Linked DNA regions of Daphnia pulex. The protein of the gene in region 1 binds, or shares a complex with, the protein of each later gene. Links are inferred from orthologs where the notes say so. Each region holds a gene or a part of one and is shown on either strand. Other genes may lie near its edges.

Region 1 (3,752 bases):
AAAGAAAAGGAACCAGTATTTACTGTTTTGTCAGAAAGGGGAATCCCCCGTCAGTCCCCCGAATTTGTTGTAGAAGTTGCTGTTGGCTCGGTAACGGCAACAGGTGTTGGAACTAAAAAAAAAGACGCCAAACGCGCTGCTGCTCTCAAGGCGCTGGATGCTCTTGGTGATTCCAGCAAGTCATCTGCTTCTAGCGATACATCAGTTGCTGTTGAGACACTCTTACAGGATGCGCCACTCTCCAACAGCAATTGCACAGGTCGTCAAATGGTTCCGGGTCTTCTTTTATTAGGAGGCGGACAGAGTAGGAAAATTGACTCTCCATTCATAACCGATTCATCGAATGCCACTGGAATTAAAGAAACTACTCAATCGTCTCGTCCGCCCAAGGCATGTTTTTCTTATGCCTCTGCCAACACTTCTTAAAATCATATATTTATTACTTAATCTTTAGACTTCTGGAGGGTTGCGCCCGGAAATACGTCTAAGGTACTTGGCCCAAGTACTGGAATACGAGGTCGAGTTTTCCGATTTTCCAAAGGTAATAAACATTTTAAAAACTAATTTTAATTTACTGTTGGAATTAATGTAATATTATTAGGGCAAGAAAGGAGATTTCGTTAGCCTTGTGACCTTGAATACAAATCCTCCGCAAGTGTCGCACGGACTTGGTGCCACTTTGGAAGAAGCCCATGATAACGTAATCATAACTTGACTATATTTTGGCAATCAGCTTAAGTTAATTATTTAATTGATGTTCTTTTTGTTAATTCTTTGCACAGGCTGCTTCCAATATGATGAAATTGCTTTCTGAAGGGTCTCAAGATGACACCGTTGGTCCCAACAAAGAAAACGCAGATCAACGAAGCACAGGACCCCAATAATTTTGTTTTTCCTATAATGCCCTGTTTGATATGTTGAGATTTGAAATGAGATTGTCTCATATCTATTTAATTTAGTTTTTGTGTCATTTAACTTAATATTCAAGCACGCTATCACGATTTTTCTTTTGTTATTCATTTGTGGGTTTGCAGTCAAAACTATTTTTCTTTGTCTTTCACTCTTTTTTTCCCCCTTCTACATTGTACACGGTTCAGCTTTTTATTTCATTATTTTTCATTTAACGGTTATTTGTATTTATTTTCAAATAAAATCAGGAGCTTATCTCTTGCTGACTCTTTATCATGTGTGGAAGAAAAAAAAAGAATTTTGAAAATGAATAATCTGTACCGTTGACTAAAAGAACGAAAATCAGAAAAAAATGGGTGCAAGTTCTAAGATTATGCAATCATACTGATCATACTTTTACGTAATACTGCACTACTGCATTAAAGAACTTGCGTTTTTTTTTACATGGCGCAGCGTGATACCTATATTTGCAGCACACATTACTAGTGGCTGTTTTATGTAACAGCGCTAGCCAAAATGAAAATTAATTTCATGCATGGGGGGAGGGGGTTACCGCATGCGAATTAGGCAATTTCTTTTAGTTCGATCGGTTGATTCATCGAGAATGGTCGAGAAGGGTTCCGCTGGAGCCAAACTATAGCCCGTCACAAACGCCCTCTACTGATAAATTTATAAGTTCTTTGAGCAACATCGTTCTTCATTTGTTTCTCGTAACCGCCAATCAGATCTTTCTAAACTTAAAAAAAATCCGCCATCTTTTCTCGGCACTTTTTTCCTCGCCGCGTGTGGGTCGTGGTGCGACGGGTTAAAGCTGTTTTCTTGCAACAGTATCTGATTTCCGTATTGATTGATAATTTCTAAAACAGTCATGTGGGAAGATAATTTAGGTAAAGTCAAGGCAAGGCGGAGCAAAAATTCAAAACCATACGAAAGGCCCAAGGTAAGACTAAAATACGTTTGTGTGAGTTTGTGAAACCCCAACTATATCCGGCTTTTTGTCTATCAGTCGATTTTGAGGCGAGTAACAGATTCAGTTACTGGATTGTTACCACAACCTTCTTGGCTGGTGAATTGGTTACAATCTACATCAGCTAAAAAAGAAGATAGTGAAAATGATGAAGTTGAGGAAGAACAACCTGTGCCGTCAACCAGTTCATCCAGCAATGGTAACAGCTCCCACCGAGAAGGTGTTGAAAGAGAGTCCTTCATATTTCGCAGACCACCTGGGACATCCAAAGAACAAAGCAACAGTAAGTTTTTTTCATCAATGTTCTGCTCCCTTCAAACTGTGTAACACATGCTTCTTTTTTTGTTTGACTTGCAGTAAGAGCTCGTCCAAATGTCCCTTCTTTGGACTTACTTCCAGAGCCAGTAGTGGTTGAATCAAGTTCAAGAGAACAAATCGTTCAAACAAATGGTTTGTATTAAACACTGATTTTCAAACTTTTATGACATCTCACATCTCATTTCCTCTGACAGGTGATGATGACTCCAACTCAGAGTCAACTAGCGGATGTTCCTCATTGTTACCACATCTCGAGCATAAGAGGGAGAGCAGAAATATAGAACTATCAAGTTTGGGAGTTGCTGAACCTCTCTCTATTAATCAATCTTCACTGCAAATCATTGGAAGCTCTTTGAGCAAGTCCCTAGCAGTTGACCTAAAAAATAGCCGTGGACGCAAAACTCTCAGCCTTCATACTTTTGGTCATGATACAAGTTCAGGTATAACTCCCACAGAAGAATCAAGGTTCCACAAGGATACAGGTAGATTTCTAATGACATTTTCATCATTTTGTAGTCAAGAATTTTGCTTACAAATGAGTCTAATGTATTGTTTTTGATTTGTAGAAGAGGCTAGTGGCTCATTTTTCGACAAAGACGACACTTCACTCAATCGTTCAGCTGCCAAGCGAGACCTTTCCCAACCTCAACTTTCATCGTATGGAAGCAAGAGACCACGCTTCAATATAACTTCATTTGGACCTACGGCTGCTGTAAGTCTTGAATTTAATTTACTAACAAAGTCTGGACTCTATTCTTTTATTACTTCCAACAGGAGGCTAGGCGGTCTTTAATGAACGAGAGTGTTGTAGACTCACCATTTTATGCTGGTAAGACGACTTACGGTGGTGCTTCAGCTTATCGCCGTGCCACTTTACAACCTTCAGCTGCACTATTCCCATACGTGCGAAGTCGAATTCAGGCTAGGCCTGCGTCTTCAGCTCCATCCACTTCGAGTTCTGTTGCTTCTACCAGTTCGTCAAATGTTGTACTTAGTAGTTCAGCGCAACGAATCCTTCAAGCACTCGAAGCCATGTCAACACCAGTGAGAGATGCAAAAAGGATTCCTGCTGCATCCAACAGTAAACGATCCACTTCTTTACAAGGCGAAGAACTTTCGTTCACTGGTAAATTGATAAAAGTTATGAATTGCTTAACGTTATAATAATTTCGCTTTGTGTTTAAAGGGTTTGGTTTGAGTCGCCGACGTCCAAATTTGGGACCTCCAACTTCCAAATTATCTGTCGGTACTCCGGCACAGATTGTCACCCGACCAGCTCCAGCAAACTTGTCTCAAATAGAACCAGCACTAGTATCGAGCACCCCCATCAGTGCCCAGGTTGGTGGCAAGATGCGAATGAGGATGTCAGCACCACTTCGCAAATCGGCTCCTCGTATTCGAGAGGATGAAGATGTAGAGTCGGAGGAGCTCACTGCTGTGCCAATGCCCATTAGTATAGCAGGTCTACCTAGTTTCAACTTGCTACCTCCTTGCTCGGTGGTAGAAAAAGCAACTGTTGTATCGACGAAGACTTCAGTGAAAACAGCAGCAGTAATGA
Region 2 (3,752 bases), on another chromosome or scaffold:
TCATTTTTATCTTTCTCACATTAACTGTTTCATTACGTTTACGTTTAAAGGCTCCGACCATGTTTACACCATCGAGAGCATGGCAAGCATTACAAATGGCTCTTCAGCACTTGTTAGGACCATTGGGCATGGCAACTTTGGACAATTCTGATTGGTCCTACCGACCAGATTATTGCAATTCGGACGAAGGAGATGATCCCAGCACGGCTCACGGTTTCAACTACCACCAAGGACCCGAGTGGCTCTGGCCAGTTGGTTTCCTACTCCAAGCCATGCTTTATTTCGCTCCATTGGTCGGCGGAGTCTCCGAACTCAGAAAAACCATCCGCAAAGTCAAGTCTATTTTATCGCGCCACTTTGTCGAAATTCAACAATCGCCCTGGCGCTCACTTCCCGAGCTTACCAATAAAAATGGCAAAGTCTGTAATGATTCGAGTCCAGCTCAAGCCTGGTCTATGGCCACCATTCTCGAGGTGATGAAAAAAAAATAAATATTACAATTTTTGAATTTAATGTACTAACTTGGTCATTTTGTCACTTTTCAGGTTTTGCATGAACTGGACAATATCGAACATAAACAGAAACTAAGCATCACCGCATTGTGAACTTAGAATTGTGATTGAATTCTTTTGTTGCCCCGGGGTCCTTAGTTGCTTTTCAGAATTCGAAATATACGCAGTTCTATTACTAGGGAAAAAGAAGAAGAGAGTAGTTTAAACTTATGTTTCCCACCTTCAGCCGCACCCGTACATTATATTATTAGCGTTTTCCCACTTCAGCGCATGTGTTGTTCTTCCACAATTTTAAAAACATTTTTTGTCGATTTAATTATGTTTGTTATTCACTTGGTGGAGAATTCTATTATGCCGCTTTCCAAAAGCAGTGTTGTAATTTGTAGCAATACACGGCGTCATGCCTGCTAGTGAATATACTCGTTCTTTTTGCCTCAACTCAAATTTTGTCATAAAATTAGTGTACCAACGAGTTTGGTTTTCAATCGCTAGGTGGCGCTGAACGGTAAATGTAGTTCTGCCGTTTGCCGGTTTGGAAATTTAGATTCGTCTGAAACGAATTTGTTTCTCAGCTGCCCGCGCGATTGCAACTGTAGAAACGAGTTAAAAACATGTCTAGTTGTCTTAAAGGAAATCTTTCTGGCTTTTCTCTTCTCGGATTGCGTGAAGTAATTCCAGATCAGACAGGCATAGAACAATGGAAGGAACTATTACTGAATACGGGTAATTCAAGTGAACTTGTTGAGCTACACCGGCTACAGTTCTTTCTTTTTCAACCGAAACGGTGTCGCTTTTCTTAAACACTGACCTGTATTCTGTTTTAACCAGGTGGAACTCATTTGACACTCCAAGATATTAAACTACCTGAAGGTTGCACAGCAGGAGGATACTGTTTCACTGATTCCAATTCAACTGTCACTCGGAACCGTTTCATATGCTGGTACAGCTATCATTTACATAATTTAAATGCTGCTGTAAGTAAGACTCATTCTGTATTATTTGTTTTGAACAGGCAAATTTCCAATGATGTCCTGGAGCTAGTAGAACACAGTTTAGACTTGAACTTACACGGCAACTGTCTTCGAATCAGATTTCAAGGCCTTCCATTATTAGAGGGGACATCCATTCATGAAACAAAAAATAATGTAGTTATTCTCGTCTCCACCATATCTTCAGTTCATCGTTTGGTTCTACCACATCCAAAAAAACACAATGATCCTACAGCATTCAACTCAATGGGGACCAACATTTCTGTACCATCCATCTTTACTGAAGCATCCCTTCCCTGGTTGAGGGAATCATTGAGCCACCAGGTCATCAACAGCACCGCCACCAATTTTTCACTCCCCAGCACTGCTGCATCTTACTTTTCTGGAAAAAGTAAAGAAGCATTGTTTGCTTTGGCAAACACTTCGTCGATTTCTCTCATTCGTATGGGTCAATCTCCTTCGGCAGTTACCACATATAATTTGCAGCCTTCCTCAAATTTATCACGTTTACTTTCTGGTTACCTGCCTACTGTGTTAAGAGGAAGCTCATCACAGGAAAACGAAGATACTACGGCAAGCATTTGTTTATTGCCGACAAATGACGACGTTCTTGTGCTGGCCGTCAGCAAAGGCTTGAAATTGCGAATTTGGTCAGCAGCAACCCAGGAGTGTCGTTTGGAGTTCGATTTGGTTGAATTCTTCGGAGACAAATCAGTCAAGCAGCTTGGCTCTCTTCACAGAATCCGGTGGTGTCCTGACGGCGTCGACTTCAAACTGGTCGTCTTCTCGTCCTTTGGCAAGAATAGATCTTTTCTTCTCATTGATCTACAGACGGGCCCTACACTCAAGCTCAATTTCCAGTCATCCGTTACTGCACAACATAGTCGTTTAATCGACTTCAGCCTGACTTCAAATCACCTTTATGCACTATGGAGCACTTCGCGGGGTGAATATCTGTTGGAATTCGCCGAAACGACCCTGCTAGAGTGGCAACAGGTTGCGTTGGAACCTGGCGTCGATTCGGAAATTGAATACGACGATACCGTCGTTGACCCTAAACAAGCGTACATGCAGGCACTTTTCAAACCGGGCGTATTCTCGATTTCAACCTTGAGTAAGGCTCTGCAAGCTTTTGATCGTTCGGCATCGACAAGTAGGAGGAGACCTGGAGATATAAAAGAAGACATCATTATGGCTATCGAGGTTGAACTGAAAGAGCAGATTTCCGATGCAGATGATGTGACAGAAGAACTTTATCTGCAACTTTCGGCCAAATACTGGGCCCAATTCTACGCCTATGCTGTTCAGTATCATTTGAAGCGGCCAATTCCTGTTGGTTTACTCATTGATGACGAAACTGGCTTCCATGCTCTACTTAAACGAGGAATGGTTTCATTTTTGCGTCCGTTGGATCTGGTTGAGAGTTTGGTTTTGCAACGAGGCCGTCGCTGGGATATGCAGCCATTTTCGAGTGGAATTGCTTCGCTTTTCGGGGGTCAGCAATCAACTTCTGGCCTTACTGCTCTGCTCGAGGTAACATTTCTTTTATTTGTTGTGTACATAGATTTTGACGAATTTTGTTCTTTTACAGATTCTGTTTGTGGTCAGCGATAGTTTGTCAACGGAGCAAATAAAGCGCTTTGATCAATCAATGTTTCAGTTGGAAAGTGCAGATCAAATTGCCAGGGATATTGCTGATGAACTGCTGGAGAACGAATCAATTAATTTGCTCAACGCTGTCCAAATGGCTTTGTCTTCTGTTGACATTTGCCTGGCCTTGTCTGTTCTTCTCCAACAGCTCAGCGTCGGCATGAATGGAGGCGATCCCAAATTTGGCGAAGTTTCCTTCAATAATAAAAGTTCCTTTCGTTTGCTTTTCAATGGAAGTCTTGGATTGGGAGCATTAGCCGAATCATCCCGACAGATGGCTGATTTAAGGTAGTAATTCAGAAAATGTTTCATTACCTTTTTAAATTAAAATGATGTTACTTTCGCAGGTTGGAATTGTGTCGAGATGTACTGATTGTACAGCAGTTGCTTATATTAACACAGAAGAAGCTTCAGCTGCGTCCCGAAGATGCCGAAACCATTCGCTCAGAGTTCCTCCCTCGTAGCGTCCCCCTGGCTCACGCCTACTATGCTTTATCTTGGTTATGCCACTTCCCGGCCCAAACGGTTTCCAATTCCCTCACCGAACAAAATATTCGCACAATGGCTTTGTTGGGATTCAAAAAATCTCAAGAGTCTTACG
Region 3 (3,752 bases), on another chromosome or scaffold:
AGATCGACATTTTGACTGAACTCCTTCCAACACTGAATGAACAAGAACTTCACCGATTCAAGCGGACTCTCTACAATTTCATTGGAGACGACTACAGATTTAAAATAGTCGAAAAGGGCAATCTCCTCCATCTTGCCTGCTGCTCCTACACAATTATAACGAAACTCTTTCCCCTAAACGTCATGAAATTGTTACTGGAACTCGGAGTCGACCCAAGTGCCACCTCGTCCAACGGAATGACGGCCCTTCACGTGCTGGCCAGTATTGAATGGGAGCGCTGGTCGATCAACACCATAGACGCCATCCAGTTACAGTTGTTGGACTCGGATGCTCATATCGACCAGCCCGATGATGTGGGCATAACACCTTTGGACCTCTTTAAACTAAAGGAAAAAGAACTGGCTGAAAACGGGATCTCAAATGTTTACCTTGGGGCCGTTCACATATGACGTCACGGACTTTTTGACGATTTTACACCCCCCCCCCTCCCCCCTTTGTCACAATTCATCACAGTAGGTATACCCCCCCTCTAATATGACGTCACAAAGTCAGATACCCCCCTCCCTTTTTAAAAATTGTTTGAGCCCCTAAAAATTCTTTATTTTCTGTATTTTCTGTAGTTTTTAATACAGAACACAATGTTGTTCATTATTTTCTTAATTGGTCAAGCAAACGAGGTGCTTTGCTCTAACGATCCAAAAAACTAAAAGAAATTTAGGAAGTTGCCAACATATCCCACTTGGTGGCGCTTGTGTAGTGCCTTGTGACGTCCCACTGTGAATACCCCCCCTACCCCCCCTCGTCACAATTCGTCATACAAGGTGCACCCCCCTCCCCCCCCTCGGCCCGTGACGTCATATGTGAACGGCCCCCTTCAAAGACTGATTCATAAAGTGCGGCCCCTCACATGTTTAGCTGCCCAAGTCGTGAGCCGTCATGGAATCCCATTCGACGACCTGCCGTCCAGTTTAATTTCGTTTGTCAACCGTCACTCATTCTTAAATTGGAATAATTGATTGGAATGTAATGCAAATTGTCTTGGTTAAATCATCATTAATAAACTTGTTTTCTGATCAATTTCTTGTGTTAATTTTTTGCGTGTAAAAGGGGAGAGAATGGACGACCTTCGGGAATGACGAGGTTGATTTAAATTTCTTCGGTTGAACGGAATAGAAATATTTGCGGTGGACTTTCGCTTTTCTGTCTTCCGCCAAAGTTAAAGGATTGGTTCTTCATCGTTAACCGCTAGATGGCATATACCTCCTTTCTTCTCGCTACTTCCACAGAAAAAATGTAGTTTCAAGTTTTGAACGTGAACGCTAACGATATCATTGAAAATCGGCTTGTCGACTTTTTTACCAATTAGACAGATACCAAATAAGATTTATACAAGAAAGTAAGGATAACTTATTCTTGAAATGGCATTTTCTAGTGGAAGTCTTTTCCAACCAGCCCAGTCTACTACATCCAACACAGGTAATACACACAAACTAGTGTCAACTCCAGCATTACTATATATTTGAATGATAATTATCTAAGTGAAATCATTTTGCCTTCGTTGTTGAACATGCTACAATGCATGGCTTTTTCATTTATTTTCTGTTTATTAGTTTTTCTTGAGATTACATTTTCTAGTCCAACCAAATGCTGCAATCATTTTTGTTCAAGCACAACACTGATTGAGAATTGTTCATTATTTTATCATAGAAATAGGAGATAACAAATAAAATTTTATAGAATTAAACTTATGTGTTGCAATGCATTTGACTCATTTTCACTTCTAGGAGGGCTGTTTGGAGGTACTGGTCAGACTGGTACTACTCCATTTGGAGGCTTTGGTGTGCAGCAAGTTAGCACAGCAAATCAGTCCTTTTCATTTGGAACTCCTCAAAATTCTGCTTCAACATCAGGATTTGGCTCTCAACAAACTAACACCACTGCAACAGTACCTTCTTTTGGTTTTGGCAGTACCCAACCTACTTCAGGTGCTCCAGCGTTTGGATTTGGTACCACCCAAACTAGCACAGCTGCTCCATCGTTTGGATTTGGTGCAACACAAACAAATACCACTACACCTGCTTTCGGATTCGGTGGAACTAATACTGGTGGAGCTCCATCATTCAGCTTTGGGCAGCCACAGACAAGCAACGCTGGATTCGGTTTTGGCACTGGAGCCCCTGCTGTCTCATCGTCGTCCGGACTTTTTTCTGGAACAGGTAATATTTTTTTATGGAATGACTTGGAACGAATTATTTGACTACTTTTCTGTATTAGGATTTGGATCTTTTGGAACATCTCTGGGAGGAACCGGGATAACAACACCAGCTTCTAGTAGCTTTTCTTTGGGAACTACATTTGGAAGTACAGCCCCAACAACAGGCCTGTTTGGTCAACAACAACAACAAACGTTTGCTCCTGCTCAGCAAGCCGGTACTGTTGTCGAATCTGTTCTCTCATCCGTACTTTACTGTAACATTTACGGTGATGAGCGCGATGCAATCTTGGCTCGTTGGAATCTCCTTCAAGCAGCTTGGGGAACCGGAAAAGGTTTGACTCCACCTTAATTGCGGTTCAATTTAAATATTAGAATGTCTTCATTTTACTCACATTGTTATTGGTGTCTAGGATTTTACTCTGGCACGGCTAGTGCTATCCAATATACTGCAGAGAATTCATTGTGTCGCTTTAAAGCCATTGGCTACAGCAAACTACCACAAGGAAAGAATGAAGATGGAATAATTGTTTTGCTGTTTAACAAACCCGAAACAGATATTCGGTAGATAAAATTATAAAAACCGTAATTGCATATAGATTTATTTATGGATTCAATTTGCAGGCGAGACCAAGCTCAGTTAGTCAGTGTGATAACTACGGCGCTGGGCAATAAACCCAATCTGAATGTGTCCGTCGAGGGCGTGTCTGGCCTAGACACAAATAAGACAGAGGTTTTGATTTGTGTTCAAGAACGCTCAGCAACTGGCGCAATTCATAAAGTGCCTGCCATTGAATTGTCTAACTTCCTTTGGAATCAACAACCATCTGGGATGATGCAGTCGGCTCGTGGTCAGCTCAGCGCACTTGGAGTCGTTTCGTGTGTTCCTAGAGTCCGACCATCACCCGAACAATTGCGCGAATATCTAGCATCGCCTCCAGCTGGGATTGACGCTCGCATTTGGAAACAAGCTCAATCAGAAAATCCTGATCACGATAACTTCATACCCATACCACTGATCGGATTTGGTGACCTTGTTCGTCATTTACACCTACAGGTTCGCATTTCTATATTTAACTTATTCACACTACGCAAATAGTTGAGTTGAAAAAAATAAATCATTGCAGGAGAAAGAGACTCGACGACACCAAGGAACCCTGGACAAGTTAGCTGAGGAATTAGCAAGCCTGCAATCTCGTGCATCAGAAACATCGGTTGCGCTAAGTGAACAGCGACGACGATACATCGACTTGCAACATCGAATCCTCAAAGTTCTTATAAAGCAAGAATGTTCTCGGAAAGAAGGTTTTGCTCTACAGCCAGAAGAGGAACGTTTGCGGGTGCAGCTAGAGTCTGTGCACAATGAACTAAGCATCCCTACGCAATTTCGAGTAACATATATATTTTTCTAATTAAATGTTAAGTTTATAGAATAATGTTTTACACTGTCAACATCAGGGTCGCTTAAACGAATTGCTTTCGCAAATAAGAATGCGCCAATCTGCCTTTACGCCAGCGGAACGAATGACTGAGAGGTACA

What was found. The genes of interacting proteins can lie anywhere in the genome.
Region 2: nuclear pore complex protein Nup153-like (region 1) and nuclear pore complex protein Nup160-like share a complex: the UniProt entries of both Drosophila melanogaster proteins name them as parts of the nuclear pore complex. The link is inferred for Daphnia pulex from reciprocal best matches to the Drosophila melanogaster genes Nup153 and Nup160.
Region 3: nuclear pore complex protein Nup153-like (region 1) and nuclear pore complex protein Nup54-like share a complex: the UniProt entries of both Drosophila melanogaster proteins name them as parts of the nuclear pore complex. The link is inferred for Daphnia pulex from reciprocal best matches to the Drosophila melanogaster genes Nup153 and Nup54.

Annotation. Positions count from the first base shown.
Region 1 is NC_060021.1:252,985-256,736, reverse strand, and holds the start of nuclear pore complex protein Nup153-like, read left to right. Parts: upstream 1-1,495; 5' UTR 1,496-1,777; coding exon 1,778-1,849; intron 1,850-1,915; coding exon 1,916-2,159; intron 2,160-2,230; coding exon 2,231-2,326; intron 2,327-2,388; coding exon 2,389-2,676; intron 2,677-2,760; coding exon 2,761-2,906; intron 2,907-2,968; coding exon 2,969-3,320; intron 3,321-3,380; coding exon 3,381-3,752. Other genes in the region: double-stranded RNA-binding protein Staufen homolog, read left to right, coding at 1-390, 455-541, 602-700, 783-884. UniProt on the Drosophila melanogaster protein: Component of the nuclear pore complex (NPC), a complex required for the trafficking across the nuclear envelope. Functions as a scaffolding element in the nuclear phase of the NPC.
Region 2 is NC_060017.1:6,360,081-6,363,832, reverse strand, and holds the start of nuclear pore complex protein Nup160-like, read left to right. Parts: upstream 1-1,000; 5' UTR 1,001-1,123; coding exon 1,124-1,235; intron 1,236-1,340; coding exon 1,341-1,452; intron 1,453-1,524; coding exon 1,525-3,034; intron 3,035-3,092; coding exon 3,093-3,439; intron 3,440-3,498; coding exon 3,499-3,752. Other genes in the region: glycogen debranching enzyme-like, read left to right, coding at 51-473, 546-605. UniProt on the Drosophila melanogaster protein: Functions as a component of the nuclear pore complex (NPC). Involved in poly(A)+ RNA transport. Required for nuclear import of Mad. May play a role in double strand break DNA repair. Essential for nephrocyte development.
Region 3 is NC_060022.1:6,652,935-6,656,686, reverse strand, and holds the start of nuclear pore complex protein Nup54-like, read left to right. Parts: upstream 1-1,247; 5' UTR 1,248-1,418; coding exon 1,419-1,476; intron 1,477-1,784; coding exon 1,785-2,216; intron 2,217-2,274; coding exon 2,275-2,547; intron 2,548-2,625; coding exon 2,626-2,776; intron 2,777-2,836; coding exon 2,837-3,269; intron 3,270-3,339; coding exon 3,340-3,603; intron 3,604-3,670; coding exon 3,671-3,752. UniProt on the Drosophila melanogaster protein: Component of the nuclear pore complex (NPC), a complex required for the trafficking across the nuclear envelope. Essential for the nuclear import of nuclear localization signal (NLS)-containing proteins in an importin alpha/importin beta-dependent manner.